Pelodiscus sinensis: one gene and its partner. The main gene of each other region encodes a partner of the protein of the gene in region 2 in a complex. Links are inferred from orthologs where the notes say so. Each region holds a gene or a part of one and is shown on either strand. Other genes may lie near its edges. The genes, in order: CACNA1E and CACNA2D1.

Evidence for each region.
Region 1: the proteins of CACNA2D1 (region 2) and CACNA1E are in contact, whole or in part, in a cryo-EM structure (PDB 8EPM), measured with the Homo sapiens proteins. The link is inferred for Pelodiscus sinensis from reciprocal best matches to the Homo sapiens genes CACNA2D1 and CACNA1E. Residues at the interface, in NP_001353796.1 of Homo sapiens: Thr170, Asp171, Tyr173, Ile233, Leu235, Ser261, Gly262, Ser263, Ser265, Gly266, Leu267, Lys270, Ala327, Lys328, Gly329, Ile330, Thr331, Glu366, Gln391, Asn393, Tyr394, Ile416, Gly417; in NP_001192222.1 of Homo sapiens: Gln110, Leu112, Pro113, Glu114, Asp115, Asp116, Lys117, Pro119, Arg122, Asn630, Phe631, Asn632, Asp633, Gly634, Ile1330, Gly1331, Asn1332, Val1334, His1336, Met1341, Val1343, Arg1346, Arg1393, Ser1394.

Annotation. Positions count from the first base shown.
Region 1 is NC_134719.1:58,580,387-58,588,501, forward strand, and holds the start of CACNA1E (voltage-dependent R-type calcium channel subunit alpha-1E), read right to left. Parts: upstream 3,285-8,115; 5' UTR 3,243-3,284; intron 1-3,242. UniProt on the Homo sapiens protein: Voltage-sensitive calcium channels (VSCC) mediate the entry of calcium ions into excitable cells.
Region 2 is NC_134711.1:18,846,718-18,854,604, reverse strand, and holds the start of CACNA2D1 (voltage-dependent calcium channel subunit alpha-2/delta-1), read right to left. Parts: upstream 3,404-7,887; 5' UTR 2,936-3,403; coding exon 2,841-2,935; intron 1-2,840. UniProt on the Homo sapiens protein: The alpha-2/delta subunit of voltage-dependent calcium channels regulates calcium current density and activation/inactivation kinetics of the calcium channel. Plays an important role in excitation-contraction coupling.

The DNA of each region.
Region 1 (8,115 bases), on a different chromosome or scaffold from region 2:
CCAGAGTAACTCTGCTCCCCGCGGCATGGGGCAGCCACTGCCCCACCCTGGGCCCGTTTGGAATAGATCCCATGCGATCGACAAGCCACCACGCTACAACCAAGGAGAGAAATGCCACTGGGTGCCTTGCTTGAATCGCTGGAGGAAGCAGATAGGCACGCGACCCACACGCCACCAGTTGACCCAGGTGAGGGGGGCTAGCTCTCCCCTGGTTGGCCCTGTGGCCTCACAGCAGTCACAGAAAACGTCAAGGTCATTTGGAAATAGCAGCTTGACCCAAAGGAAAGGAGGAGGGGCGTCAGGAAAAGTGGAGGTTGCCGACGGCACGATTCCCAGCACAATATTCCTAATGGATCTCGCTAGGAATAAGTGTTCCCACTGGGAGGAGGGCCAGAGGAAACTCTCGTGGGCTTAGAGGTCCCACTACCATAACAGATGGAGAAAGATCCTTCTCGGTATCCCAAATCAACAGCCCCATCCCATGCCTGGCCGGGGGTAAAGCCGCTGTGAGGTTCAGACGTCATGCGCCCATCCGCCACAGGCCTGTAGAAAGAGGGGGAAGCTCAAGGAGAAGTCGCAGTTACAAATACACAGTCAAGCCTGGCCCTTAGCACAACTCTGATTCAAGGAGCCCTGGAATGGGAAGTTCTGGGTGAGAGCAATCCATGGGGTTGAGATGCAAACACCCCTGGTAAATAATGAGCAAGAGACAATGTTCGCAGAGATGCCACTTCATGCCCTGCAACGGGGGCTGTGGCCAAGAGATGAAAGGCAGCCCCGTCCACGAAGCAATTTAGAGGCGCTCTGGACAGATGCCTCGGAGAAAGGGGCTGAAACTACATTAGAACAGCTGCGCCGATACAGACGCCACTGAGTGCTGCATCGCATTTTCTGTACCTTCGGGAGCGCCCTGATGAGACTTCCCCTGTTGGTCACGGACCAGGCTTGTCCCTGGCTGGAGGATGGCTTATTGAGCAATCCACTTCCCCTTGGCATTCCCAATAGCACCTGTTAAAAAGTCCAACACAGACCCCAGGATGCATGCGGACGGCCAGAGACACGAGGCAGACAGCTGGGAACAGCCGTCCTTCGTGAACACCTTGACACGCTGGACAAGGGCTACAGCAAAATGTTTCCGCAATATGAATCTAGCATCCAGATCCCAGCAAAGAGGCAGCAAAGGAAAAGCGACCGGCGTGCCCAACTCTGGATTGTTAGCAACTAAGATCTCTGGCGGCTCGTCACTTTCAGACTCCAGGGCATCAAAGGCAACAAGACGCATCAAAGTCTGCTGCTGGATCTGTGCTGGAGCAGACCGATGACCTTGATAAACCGGGACATTGTACTTCCAGCCCTGCAGTCTCACATGCTTGTGGACACAGATGAGCCACGTGGTTGCCTGAATTCAAGGCGTCTTGCTCAGACACTTGAGAAGAGTAACCCTGAGGTAGCCCAGCAGGTCTGCTGGAGGAAGACCTAGAACCGGGAGCGTTCCCAGTGTCCATGGAGCCTGGTGCCGGTTTGCTCATGTAGGACATAACGTCCTTTTGGGGGAAAAGAGAAAAAAAATAGTTAATATGGGCTGGGGCTGTCATTGCTGCTGTCCAAGTCTGACCCCGTTTCCTAGAAAACAACACACCCACAAAGGGAAAGGAAACAACCGCGGCAACAGAAAATGCAGCTTCTGTGTCTGGCATTGACTTTCGCTTGCAACCCCACTGATGAGAAAACACAGACCCAGCATATGGTCTGATCAGCCACTCTGAGACCTGGCAAACTCAGCCCAGCATCAGCTGTTTGATTTCATTTCATTACCTGCTTCTCTAATCACAGGCGCACAGCAGTGTTGCAAAATATGCAGTCTTGGCCGGCTCAGCCAGACTCTAAGGCTATGTCTTCACTTATACTGGCCTGACAAAATGTTTGGCATTCAGAGGTGCTTGAAACCCCCCCACGAAGAACAGGGGCACTCTCCTGATAAAGCAAAACCCGCACATTAGGGTGGAATTAAACAGTACTCATCTGTGCTGACAGTTAGCGACAGGACTATGTCAACACAGCCCCGTTGCTAAAAGCTGCCTAGGGCAGTCCTACCCTTAGAGAGAAGGAAGAAGGAGAGACAGGAAAGAAATAAAGTAGGGACGGAAAAAGATACACGGGAGGGGGGATCAGACAAAGTCTCAAATCCCAGATGAGGTTTGGGATTTAGCTGGAGCTGGGGAAGGTGGTTTGGTTCCTGGCTCCTACTGTCTGGCCCGCTCAGGTCGGGGCATTGATTACGAGCAGGCTGAAGGAGCTTGAGGCAGAACAGGGTGGGGTGGCAGCCATGACAGCGAAGCTCACGCCTTCCCCTTCTCTTTCACCCAGCCAGCAGCACAATCGTCGGCTTTTCTTCAAAAGTCGCTTTCCTTGTCAAGCCCCCAAAAGGGAGTGGTGGGCAGAAGAGTCCGTCCTCCTCTTTTTGTATCCTTCAATAGGCCTCATTTCCCACACACCCATTTGGGTTTAGTGACGGTGGGTTTTAAAACCCAGGCAGGCGCTTAACACATTCCTGGAGTTAGATCAGTAGCTCTTCTTGTCTGGACTTTAGTTTGCCTTTGGGGGGAGGCACCTTTTCCCGTCAACAATCCTTGTTATGGGTTAGTGTGACATTGTCGGGATTTATACTCACTTGCCACAGTTGAAATCACAGTCTGCGTAAAAGTGTAGTCCCATTACAAGGGAGCAGGATTCCCTGGCAGTAGAATTTCTGGGGAATAACCCCTGGTAATAAAGGTCATATGGGCTTTGACAAAGCTAATTTGAATGGTTTGGCTGGACACGGTTATTGATGTTAACAGGGTATTTATGTGGCACTTGTGTCAGGAAAGCTCAGGGCCAAAGCTGTGCGTCAGGGGAATGCCTCAATAAAACTGAGAGCCATCGGACAAATTTTTTTAGGAGGACTGCTCTCAGACATATGGTACCTCCTCAGCCTGTGGTAGTACGGTGCCTGGAAGATAACAGGGATTACAAATAGAAGATGCTGCCGTTTACTGCTCCTGCCTCTGCAGTGATCGGGGGAAGGAATATGAGTCAAGAGCATTGGGCGAGGTTGACTATAAATGCCAAGCAGCCAAATGTTACTTTCTCCTGGCTCTGCTCCAGGGTGGTTAACCCTGCCAGCGGTTCCTTGCTCAGACTCTCAGCCAATAAAAACAAGAGGTGGGGAAGCCAGCTTGGTTGAGATTTTGAATGCTCACCTTCTGTGACTTGACATTCAGACATCAGGAGATGAAAGACCTGGAAAGTAGGGATGTAAAAGGTTAACCGGTTGTCTGGTAAGCATTAGGTTCATTTGGATCTGTCCAAACCCCAGTGGTCGGCCAGCCATGGTGGCCTGGATGGCAAGACCCCACCTGCAGGGGCCCAGCCTGGAGCAACCCCCACCCAGTTGGACCAGTCAGCCACTAGGGCCAGCCTGGAGCAGCTGCCTGCCCATGGCAAGCTGGTTGCCGGGACCCCAGCTGCGGCGGGCAGAACTGGAGCAGCCTCCACTGTGCCTGGCAGGCAGGACCCCTGCCCCACAGAGGCAGTGGGACCATGGGGCTGGCGGGACCCCCATCCCCAGCTGCTCTGCACCAGCCCACCCACAATTAACCGATATCATTTTAATTGTTTAACTGGTTAACTGTTTTAATGGTCATTTACATCCCTACGCTGCACAGAGGAAAGTGAGGTTGAGGGACCAGATTCGGGTGAACAGTGAACGTTCAAGTCAGGAGCAAGATGCCAGGAGTGAAAAGAAAGTTTGGCTACACCATTGGACAGAACTGGAGAAAACCCTCAATCAACTCCGTTTTGTGGGGCATTACACAGTCATCAAAATGGCTGGTCCTGCCGTGAGGGACTGGACTCGGTGGCCTCTTAAGGTCCCTTCCAATTCTAGGATTCTGTGAGTCTAAGAAACTAATCAACTTATTCTTGCTCATAAGAGAAAAAAAAACATTATGGTCTTGCTTCAAGTACATGCAGAATGGATGCCCAGATCCCGGAGAAAAGAGACACCAGATGAGCGTGCGTGCCAGACATCTTTTACGGGGGCAGAAGGCTGTTTGGAAATCGCTCCACACGTTGATCTCGGAGAACAAGTTAAGGGAGAGAAATTACCAGGAATTCTTTTGGATCCCACTTGTCACCGTCACTGAAAGCCCATCAGAAGTCAGGCTGGCTTGGAGAGTAGCCACATACAACCGGATGACTCACATCCAGTTGACGAGAGATACAAGGCCAAACACTCCGCTGTGTATATTGGCGCAGCTCCGTTGGCTTCAGAAAAGTGGTGCCAATCAACACTCCCAGAAAAACTTGGCCCACTGCATTGATTGAATACAAGACACAGCCAGAAACTTACAAAGCTGGGAGGAGATTATAATATGCAGAACTTTTGTTCACACTTTAAGAACCCTAATTAAACAAAGGGAGAAGGCATAGTAATACATGCAGACATCCTGCACGCATTATTGCTGGTCAGAAAGAGGAGGTGCGTGTCACAGGTTTTTCCGCCTTGTGCTGCGAGGTTTTTCTGCCCATGTATTATCATCATGATCCTGCGCAGCCCTTGAGTAGCGCTTTTAAGTGATCCATGCACTGCACACTGATTCTCTGAATAGCCCTCATCACAGCCCTGCGGGATATGGATGTAAAGGTGCAGGACTGCCTTAGCCACATGACAACGGGGCAACACCACGGAGGTGGGAGGGTAACGTGTCCCCTACCACCAAAGCACAAAACATGCTGCTGAAGTCGTGCTGAGGCCAACCTAAACCAATCCTGTCTGGATCAGTTCTCTCTCTTTTGCGCAGTGCGTGCTGCTCCTGGCCATGGCTCCTAAGTTTGCAAAATTGGGCCACTTGTGCCCCCTCCCCCAGCTGGGGGGCACATGCGACCCCAGTTTATTTCTTTCCACACATCCGTCACGTCCCGTTGGTTTGACTGGGGGCAAGCTGATGAAGTCCATCACAGACTGACCGCAACCAGCCTCATCCAAAGGCCACACTGCAAGGTGCAATCTTCCTCATACTGAAGCTACATCTAGACTGCCCCCTCTTGCACAAGAAAATCTGCAAATGAGGCAAAGCGGTGAATATTGCCGCACCTCATTTGCATACTTAATGAGCCACCATTTTTGCGCAAGGGGCTTTTGTGCAAAAAGGAGCTGTCTACACGGCTCCTTTATACGCAAAACCCCCCTCTTATGTAGGAGCCGTTCTTCCTGAAAAAAAGCGGCAGAACAGCTCTTGCGCAAGAGGGGGGTTTTGCGCAAAAGCCCCTCACGCAAAAATGGCGGCTCACTAAGGATGCCAATAAGATGCAGCGATGTTCACCGCTTCACCTCATTTGCATATTTTCTTGCATAGAGGGGGCAGTCTAGACGTAGCCCTTTAAGATGATCAGGGGTGGGGGGAAGAGGTTACATCCATCTTCCCTCAGAGCAAATATTCAACCACTTTGCATTCTTGAAGTCGGATGCCAGCCAATCAGTGAAACCATCACAGACAGGAGAAGGGGCAGTTACTTCCAGGGGAGTCAAGCAGAGAAGAAGAGGCCCACCTCCCTCAGACATCACACCCACACACCCCGCCTCAGACGTCACACCCACACTCCCCTGCCTCAGACGTCACACCCACACACCCCTCCCTCAGACGATACACCCACACACCCCGCCTCAGACGTCACACCCACACTCCCCTGCCTCAGACGTCACACCCACACTCCCCTGCCTCAGACGTCACACCCACACATCCCTCCCTCAGACGATACACCCACACACCCCGCCTCAGACGTCACACCCACATCCCCCTCCCTCAGACGTCACACTCACACCCCCCTCCCTCAGACGTCACACCCACACTCCCTTGCCTCAAATGTCACACCCACACTCCCCTGCCTCAGATGTCACACCCGCATCCCCCTCCCTCAGACGTCACACTCGCATCCCCCTCCCTCAGACGTCACACCCACATGCCCCTGCCTCAGACGTCACACCCACATCCCCCTCCCTTAGACGTCACACCCACACACCCCTGCCTCAGACGTCACACCCACACACCCCTGCCTCAGACGTCACACCCACATCCCTCAGACGTCACACCCACATCCCCCTCCCTCAAATGTCACACCCACACTCCCCTCCCTCAGACGTCACACCCAGATCCCCCTCCCTCAAATGTCACACCCACACCTCCTCCCCTACCAGCTCTCTTTCTGGTTTACGCGTCTGACCACCGCCTCCCTACGTCCCCCATTTCACCTGCTCTTGCCCACTCTCTCCCACCCCTCCACCTTAACGCCAGGCTACTTCATTTTCACCTGTCCTCCCGCTCTGAACAGTGTGCACTCGATGAGCTGCACAACATTAGTCACTGGCCAAAGAGATGTGAGAAAAATGGGGGCACCCGCTTCATAATGCAAAGCAGCGCTCGGAAGCAGAGCACAAAAGGTTAGCGTGATAAGAGTAAATTAATTACAGGGCCTCACAGAGCAGAGTCAAGTGGCCACTCAGATGAGTGATTCATTCTCATTGCTTCACTATGTCTCTTACCGTCTTAATCTGTTTAGCTGTTAATTAGCCTTCCCTCCTGTCGCTTTTGTTCCACAATAGTCAGGGAGCAGCGGGCGAACAAAACCTAGAGCTCCTTGAAATTCAAACATGAGCAGTGGGTGAAGGTAGCCCAGCCCCGCCCCTTCTGCTGAGGCCCCGCCCCTTCTTCTGAGGCCCCGCCCCCAACACAGGGGAGCACGAGAAGGGCGGGCAGGTGCATGGCTCCAGCCTCCCAGGCCAGGAGAGCAGGAGGGCAGGCCCTGGAGGCAGCAACAGCCCGCCTCAGTATGCCTATCGTAGGCGTTCTGGGGGCGGAGCGTGGGCGGGGCTAGGCTTGCAGTTTGGGAAGGCAAAGCCTTCCCCTGCCTAGCACACGGCTGCCCAGGAATTCAAGGTTTAGTCTCAACAAACTCAGCAACTGGCCGCGTAGCAAGAGAGCCGTCTCTGCGGTTACGACGCCAGGGCACAGGCAGGTGTCACTGTCAGCGGAGGAGGTATAGGATTTTAAGTCACGTGGCTGTTTCTTGCTGAGCCTGGGCAAACGCTGCTTGGTTTCGGTTCATAAAGGGCCTCTCTCACAACCGGTGTTCGGGATCGGTGAGGCTTTGCAGACAGTAGCAGAAGAGAGGACTTCGGCCTAAGGGCTCTGTCTACAAATTTGTGCCACTTTAACTATACTGGTAGAGGCAGGCCTGCCAACCACGGAGAAGGGAGTAAAAGGGGCAAGTGTCCGGGGCCTGGTGATTCTAAAGAGCTCAGGGTTCCTAGCTACCACTGCTGCCCAGAACCCTGGGTCCGTTCAATTGCCACCAAAGCGCCACGCTCCAAGTGGCTCTAAGGGCTGTGGGGGGCAGCGTGGCGCACTCCGGGCAGCACTGAGGGGTGGCTGCCCTCGGCCCCACCCCTGTAACTTTACCTGTGAAGCTCTGCAAGTGTAAATGCAACTCAAGCCGGCAGGACCTGCTTTTGCTGTTCTGACTTATACCAGCTCAGTCCGCAAAGTAAGGCTTTGTCTCTACTTCAAAGGACTTTCCGGTACGGAAATCCTGGCAGAGTTATGCCAGCAAACCTGCCTCATGTAGAAGCAGCTTCTTACCTACAAGCGTTCCTTTGCCAGAACTGCCCTAACCAGTGAAGGGAATGGGCTACCTCAGCCAAAGGACGTTTGCTGGCGTAAGCAGCGTCTACACTAGCTGTGTCGGTCAGTCAGGGCTTTGTCCACACTCCTAACAGCCATATCAGGCTCCTACCAAATTGGTGGCCATGGAAAATGCACCACAGACTGTGAATTCTGGTCTCCCCCGTGAAAGCTGGCCTGTCAGGTACTTTTACCCTATTCTTTGCTCGGCAGCTGAACAGCCGCAGCTGCTGGCCAGGCGCCTGGCTTTGGAGGCACCCCTATGAACAGCCACACAAAAGAAAGGGGAAGCAGTGTTGATTTTTAAGGGACAGCTCGTGTTTCTGTGAACATTTGGGTAAAAGAAATCACTTGGGGGTGATGAGCCGAGCTGGGTAGAGCTTAGATCACATGA
Region 2 (7,887 bases):
TCTGTTTCATTCAGTATAGACATTTCTAATAAGCTGACAACCCCTATTTTCCTGGGTAAATATATCAAAGCCATAGTAATGATATTTATCAAACCCCTGAGATTCTATCAGAGACACTGGTGAAATCTTCTGGGTTTTCTTTACCACAAAAGAGGTAATATTTTATATCACTGTATTGATTACATGAATTTCTTGAGTTCTGCATTTAAGATACATCTCAAAAGAATGAAATTACTGACACAAAAAATTCACAGGGCCATGAGGGTGACAAACAGCTATTGATGAAATCATAAACTATGCTAGAGTTTTTTGTTTTTACAATACCCCCCCCAGCAATACTTAAATGCCACTTTATATCAGCTTTTCAAAATCAATGATAAAAAGGGGTTCATGTAAAAAAAATATTGGGAAAATACTTGTAGATAAGTATAACAAATCAGGCATTAAACAGCCTTTAATGTGTCAGCTACTAGTACTCCTTTCTTTCCTTTCCACCCTTCAGTCCTTTTCTTTTTTTCCTATTTGTTACCTGTACTATTTACATCTTAAATTATTTACACTCACAGATATTCTCACTTGTGTCATTTTCACTTCTTCCCCTTTACACTATTCACTGTTGAGAAAATCATCATCACACAAGCATTAAAAACAGCATCCTAGCATTGTTTTCATCTTCACCTGTTACATCATTACTCTTTTGCAAAACAAGTCTTCCTACCAGCCTGCTGAACTGTCTCCTAAATGAACTGAGACTTATGTGCTCTTTGATTTCATTTAAGGGATGAAATATATTATGAAGGATAGGCAGACACTGGATTGTTTCTACAATGTTGCAATGGCTTAATTTTTTTTTTTAAAAGCAACCCACATACCATAAGTAGACAGTGGAGAACATTTAAAAGCTGTTAACCAAGAGGAAAAAAATATTTCTTATTCTGCATTCCTTATTAGAAACAAGTTCTTTGATTAACCAATACCTTATTTTGCTGATGTTTGCTTTTATGATGAATATAGTAATAGTGACTGCAAAGGTAAGAAGCAAATATGGACTGAGTGGACTACTAAGACTGAAAACCAAAGTATCTCACAGTAAAAAGTGGTCTGTAATTTCATCTGGAAATTATAGTATTTGCTTCACACCATGTTGATTTCAATATTTCTGTCTCTTTTATGAATTAGAGTAATTTTATGAGAAGATCAATTGTGAATAACATGATTTATCAATTCACTAAGGAGGTAGATTTCAACATCCTAAAACAGAAGACTAAGAGTAGCAAGTATTTTAAAAGATGAGTATCCTAGCATTTATTTTTACTCCTCTCCTTGCTTTACCCAGCACAACTTTGTAAGGCATTCTTTCAGTCCAAGAAACTGAATCATGAGTCAAGCATCAGAAAAGGCAAGGCTTCATTTATGCAATATAAAATATATTAAGTGGCTATGCAGTTATGTTTTTAATCCCTTTCCTTCTTGTACCAGTGTGCGCATCATTTTAGTTTTGCTTCAATATATAAATGGAACCAATATTAAGAACTGAAACCAATTGTAACACCCCAGCAGCACTTATTGGTGAAAAAGCACTCCTGGTAATCACTGGAATCGCCTGTACAGGATGAGCAAGAACAGTAAATTCTGCCCAGCATCAAACATAGACTACTACCCTTACTTTTGTTTTCCTGTAGAAAATGCATTCAAGTGAACCATCCACATAAAGTTACCTGATGACAGGTAACCATAGAACTAAAAGTAAGCGCTTCTACAAAGGAAGTGTGGTCATTAGCACACATTGTTTCTTATCCTATAAATGTCTGGTTGAAACCAAAAATATATTGGTCTATTTCCCCTTTCCTTTTTTGTTTCACATGGTTTTCAATATGTGATCCTTCCTTTGCTCTGGGAAACATTTTCATGTTAATAACTATACAACGCTTTGAACATTTTGGATTACATCCATGCAAAGTAGCAACATAAAACAGCTATTACTAAGTATTCCTTTTAAAAGGTGCAAAGGTGAATCCCCTGAAGTAATTATTATGAAAGCTAATGTTTGAGAGAGTCTGCATGAAAATACACCTACTTTACTTACGTTGCTTTCAACATGAAAAAAGTCTGTTTTTGCACATGATTCTGCACCCACAAAATCATACACACAAAACAAACCCTGGAGCTGTCAAAATATTCATGTTGTGAACTGGAGGAGATCAAGGTAAGAATGACATACATACATTTAAAATCCCCAGCCAAAAATTAAAATAACACTATCATGCAAACATGCATGGGGAAAGCAAGGATATGTATTTTGTGCATTTTAAAATTCTTAAAAAGAAGAAAAAATAAATTGCTGCTGTATTACTTAAAAATAGAAAGTATTGAGATTCCAGTCAAACTGAAATAGCCTTTGAAGCCCGTGGGAGCGGGGAGGGAGAATGTGTGCAACTAGAAACTTTCTTCTTAGCACAGCTCATCTGCTGGGGGTATATTTAGAGACTGGGACCCGGTCGGGAGTGTTGTTCTCATGCAAATCCCTGAACTCAAAAGTCTAGTACTTGGCTGTGCTGGGGCTTGCTGTTTCCCTCCTCATTGACCATCGATCGGAGATCCTGGATCTTTAAAGCAAAAGCAGCCAAAATCCTGCCATGTGCCCCAGTTACCACTTTATGAACAGGGCTCCCCCAATCCCAGGGAAGGAGAGTTCCCCTCGCACGTTACAATCCCACCCTCTCCCAAACACACACACACACACACACACACACACACTTTCTCAGGGAAACACCCTCCCCCTTCCCCACCACCGCGTTTCAAAACAAACCACGCCGGAGCCAAACTCGGCTGGGACTCACATAGAGGCAGAAGGGAAGGGTCCTTCCGAGGCCAGGTTCAGCACCAGGGAGTGGCAAAGTGTCAGACTCAGGAGCAGCCGCCAGCCAGCAGCCATCTTCCTGATCGAAGATCGATTCCCCCCAGTCACGGAGCCGGAACAAATAATTAAATGACTGGGGCTTGTTTTGCTTTTTAAAGCCCCCTCCCCCTCTCCCAGGAGCCGCCCAGCGCTGGGCGCAGCAGCTGGGAGGGGAGCTAGGGGTGGGGAGGCGAGCGATGGAGAGAGCCGGGGGGCGGGAGATCCAGCCGAGAGGGAGAGGCTCTGACTCTCCGCTACTCCAGCAGCGGCTCCGGCTCCCTGCGATCCGCCGCCATCAGGGCTACTTTGGGACCAGCTCTCCGCTCGCTCTGTGCCTGCGTGGGGCTGTCCGTGCCTGATTTATTCCCGATTGCGGAGGAGGGAGGAGGCGGCGGAGGCGGGGGCTGGTGGAGGGGGTGCGAAAGCAGGCAGAGGCTGGGCGATTTCTCCTCGGCTTCCCTGCCACGAGCCGCAGGAAGGGAGCTGGGGAAAGTCACCGCGGGGGCGGGTGGCAGAGGAGACTCGCCGAGCCCTATAGGGAGCCGCTTGCCATACAAGGCAGAGGAGGGACTCCCGGAGTCAGCCTCTGATCTCCCGCGCGAGGAGGGGGAGGCAGGGGGTGGTGCCTCGCCCCAGCCGGCGCGGAGCGGGCACATGCCAGAAAGCCGCTGCAGGCCGGCTGCGAACCGGCTCGGCTGCGCTCCGCGGCGCACTGTGCGAGGGGTGGTGCGCATAGACCCTGGGGTTGGGCCGGGGCAGCCAGCGTGGAGCGCAGGGAGACTCCGGCTGCCCCCAAAGCCGCGCCTGGCTTCTCGCTAGCGGCACCCTGGCCATGTGAGGCTGGGATTCTGCATCTCCCGATTTCCCCCGGGCAACCCTCCCCCGCAGCCTGCTTTCAGAGAGCCAGGCAAGGGAAGACCTAGTCCCGGGCAAATCGTCCAGCGCTCAGCAGCTTCCCGTTCGCCTCCCCCTAGATACTGGCCTGAGGGGTTTGTTTGTTTGTTTGTTGCGAGTGCTCGGAATTCCCCAGCTCTTTTGTAAACCTCTTTCCCATTTTGGGTGCTAAGCAGCAACACCTGGCCCCTTGCGCCTGTTTCCTTCCTGGGACAGGCGGACCAGATTTTGTCAGGGCGGTCACCGCGTCTGCAGTCTTGTTGGAAACCGGTGGGTCCCAGAACAGCAGACACACAAGGTGGGGGAGGTGAAATCGTGTTTTGGGACCAACTTCTGTCGGCGAACGAGAGGAGCCTGCCTGCTAAAGAGAAACCAAGACCCGACGAAAAGCTTATTGGGAGCTCGAAAGCACCTTGCTCTCAGCCCACAGAAGTTGATCCAGTAGAAGATCTTAGCCCTTGCACCTGGCCTCACCACATTTTTAAGAAAGAGATCATCTCAGGGCCAAGGGTACAAACAACTGAGAGCTAGGGAGGGGCTTCATCCCTACTAAAAATTAAGGGTTTTATTAAAACATGAAAACACAATTTGGAACAGAAGCTTGTTTATTTTGCTGTATTACAAGTGGAGCAGTTTAATCATAATAAAATATTACACATTAAAGCAAGTTATTGTTTCCTCTATTCCCCTCCTCCCCATCAAAAAGTTGTCTATGCCCTTGTAGGAGCCAACATCACTTCCATTCACAATCATGCAGATCAGCCCCTCCCACAGCCCCCATGACCCAATTCATCATCAGTAATATCCCCATGGAAACGGCAACTGTTTTACAGGGTAAAGGAAGGGGGGGGATTTATTTCATGGATATTTAATAGAGTAGGTAGAGAAACAATGGCAACTATTTTGAGTTACTCCAACCTTAAAAAAATCAATCTAATACATCAGCTAGGGGAGGTGGAACCAGCAACATCTATCTTCAGTAATTAGATAAATGGCTCACGTTACTCTAATATCGAAATGCCTCAGAATCTTTATTTGGCCCACTAGACCGTTGTGAATTTAGGCAGTGTTGTTATCTATATTTTATAGTTGGGAAACTGAGGCAAGGAGACTAAGCAGCTCACCTAGGGTCACTCAGGAAGTCTGTCTCAGAACAGGGAATTAAACACAGGTGCTCCAAATCACAGCCTTGTGCCTTAAGGACCAGACCAATCTTGTACCCCTGAGCTGCTAGCTCTCTGCATGACTGACAGCAAATACTCCACAGTCAGACCACACTTTTGAGACTCTCTGCCTTACAATGCATTTGTAGTGCAATTTGTCTTCTGTGTGTGACCTGCATCATTAGGATACCTGAAAGTTATGTCCAGTCTCATATTAATTATTCTAATCTAATGCAGCTTCTGCCTTCCACCTACTCCCTGATTCTATTGAACAGTGTCACTATTAACTCAATGGATTTACTACACTCAAACATCCCCACCCCTGAGACTTCTCTTCTCTCTGCATAGAACTCCATTCTGCTTAGCAATGTGGGGAGAACAGGGTGGTCATAACTCCTCAGTCACAAAGACTGTTTCAGCACTGAAGTAAAACTCAGCCAGCGTCTGTTTTGTTGTTTTATGGCATTTGGTGTTTTTCCTCAAGAACTCAACTCCTGGAGTCATATGACTATGTGAACATCTCAACTTCCACTTTTTAAAAAGGACATGTTTAGCCCTAATCATTGCAGAGAAAAGCTTAAAAACCATGACCTACAGCAGGCTCAGAGACTAAAAAAAGAAGGCGGGAAACCATCATAATTATTTTATCAAGCCAATCTCCTGATTTTGGGTGCCTGACTCATGATCTTTGAACATTTGGGGTTATAGCAGTGCTGACATGAGAGAGACAAATAATAAGGCAAAAGGAGGAATGCTCGGGTAAACAGTAAAGCCAGAAGCATAAAGTGGCATAAGATTAATTTTTTTTACATTATCATATTCTTAAGCTTTCTAATGCTGCATTTGTCATTGGTGCAGCTCATTAGGGCAATATCTGTAAAAATATTAATTAGAGTAACAGGAATACAAATAGCTTCCAAGATCAGGTCCCCATATAATAATATAGTTGGTTCTGTGTTTGTACAGGATCCAACACTAGTCTATGACTAAAGACTTAAGGTGCCACTGTAATATAAATACATAATAACAGTAGAAAAAAACCTGGAGAAAATACAAATAAAAATGTTATTGCTCTAATACAGAAATACCCCAAAGGCATTAATCAGTATCCAGACCATTATTCTAGGCCCTGTACAAACACATTGCAAGTAACTCGCTATAAAGAGATTACAAGCTGAGGCTCCCTACTGCAATGAATTCCATACCGGCGAACAGGTGAGCATGAAGCTCACTGCAAGCTATCAGAGTGATGACCAGAATATGCCCTATTAGCTCCCTGGATATACACATATATCACCAAATACCCATTTCTTTCCTTTTACTGTTAAGGGGTTTGTTTGTTTTTTAATGGCTTGCCCAGGTAGAAATGGGGTAGAGATGGGAATGGCAGGGATAGAAAAGGTTAGCAAGAGTGAATCAAAAGGAGAAGTGAAGGAAAGAGGAGCATGATGTCTATTGACATCAGGTAGTGTGGGGAGAGGATCAGAGCAAAAATATTTGGGTGAAGTTCTTGGACTCCCTGCACAGTCAGGAGATGAACAGATGCCATTGGGCTGGAGCGGAGGCATAAAGGGATTTAGTATTTACCTTTCTATTTCAAAAGGGAAGAGAGGGGGATGCCATTCCTGGATCAGGAGGTATTACTGTTCCCAGATTGTATGCCCCCCTCCGCAAGAGATGCAGAAGTCCATATGGAAAAGCAATGCATCTGTGACAGCTCTGGGGTGCTACTCTTGTTCCCAGACATTAACTCTTTGTTTTGTCATGCTCCTCCATATTAGAGAAAACCAGGAAGTATCTGCAGCTGGGAGCAACTCTGGAAAAACGGAACTACAGAAGTGAGCTCAGCTGTGTTGATCAGAAGACACAAGGCTATGCCTATTTCCCACTCTTCTGCTCCAGGGAGTGTAAACATGTATGCAGTACCATCTTACTCCTATGTTTCCAGGCCCAAGCCTGGAAAGTCCATGCAGGAGTACAATGCATGGGGCTAGTGCTCTGGATCACAATCTGGCTTCAAGGCTGGGTAAATCTGGCCAACCACCTTTGGCCATGTTTCTATTCAAAACTGATTCTAAACATGTACTCCATGATGAAATATATTGCAAGGTTAGATCTAGCTAGAACTGTGTACAGCATTCACAGAACACGGACAGCTCGGTGGGCTTGGGGTTTCATTACAAACTTGAGCCCCAAAACTGCAACAAGCTCCATGTAGGTAGATCACTCCACCCATTCATACCTTCAGTGAAGTCAGTGTGGTGTGGGATGCAGGGGTCTACTCACAGTAAGGATCAGAGCCTAAGTTTTCACCCGGATTGAGCCTGAAATTCTTGCAACGTGTACAACCCTTATTGGAGATGATCCCAGTGCAGGCAAAACCTGAAGTAGAGTCATGGTTTTGTTTCAAAACCAAGTGAAGCATGCAAATCCTTACATGTTTCTGAATCTGCCAGTCAGGAGGCAAGAAGAAGGATAGTGAATATTAGGGAACTCTGAACAGTGAATTATCAATATATTCGCTACAATGCATATGCGGGAGGGGAATTAGCTATTTCTGATTTACACCATTGGAATCAAGAGGAGAATCAGGTTCTCTATATATTTCTGACAATATGCCTTATTCTGTCTATTTTATCTATCCAAAGCCAGACTGCAAAAAGATTGTACGCCCCACTCTGGAGGAGTGTGCCATCCCTGGCTCTTCCACAAGGTAGCAATGGGCTCTCTCATGCTGCAGGCTTTGAGAGAGTACCCTGTGTCAAGAGACAGTGTCACAGACTCAGCTGGTGTAAACTGGAGAAGCTCTGTAGCTTATTCTTGAATCAGTCTGGCAGCTGTTTGCTGGGTTGTCTAAACACATGCAGGAAAATATACAGATGTCTACAGGCTACACTTGTAGAGCAAAAGTAAGTTATCAGGGATGAAGCA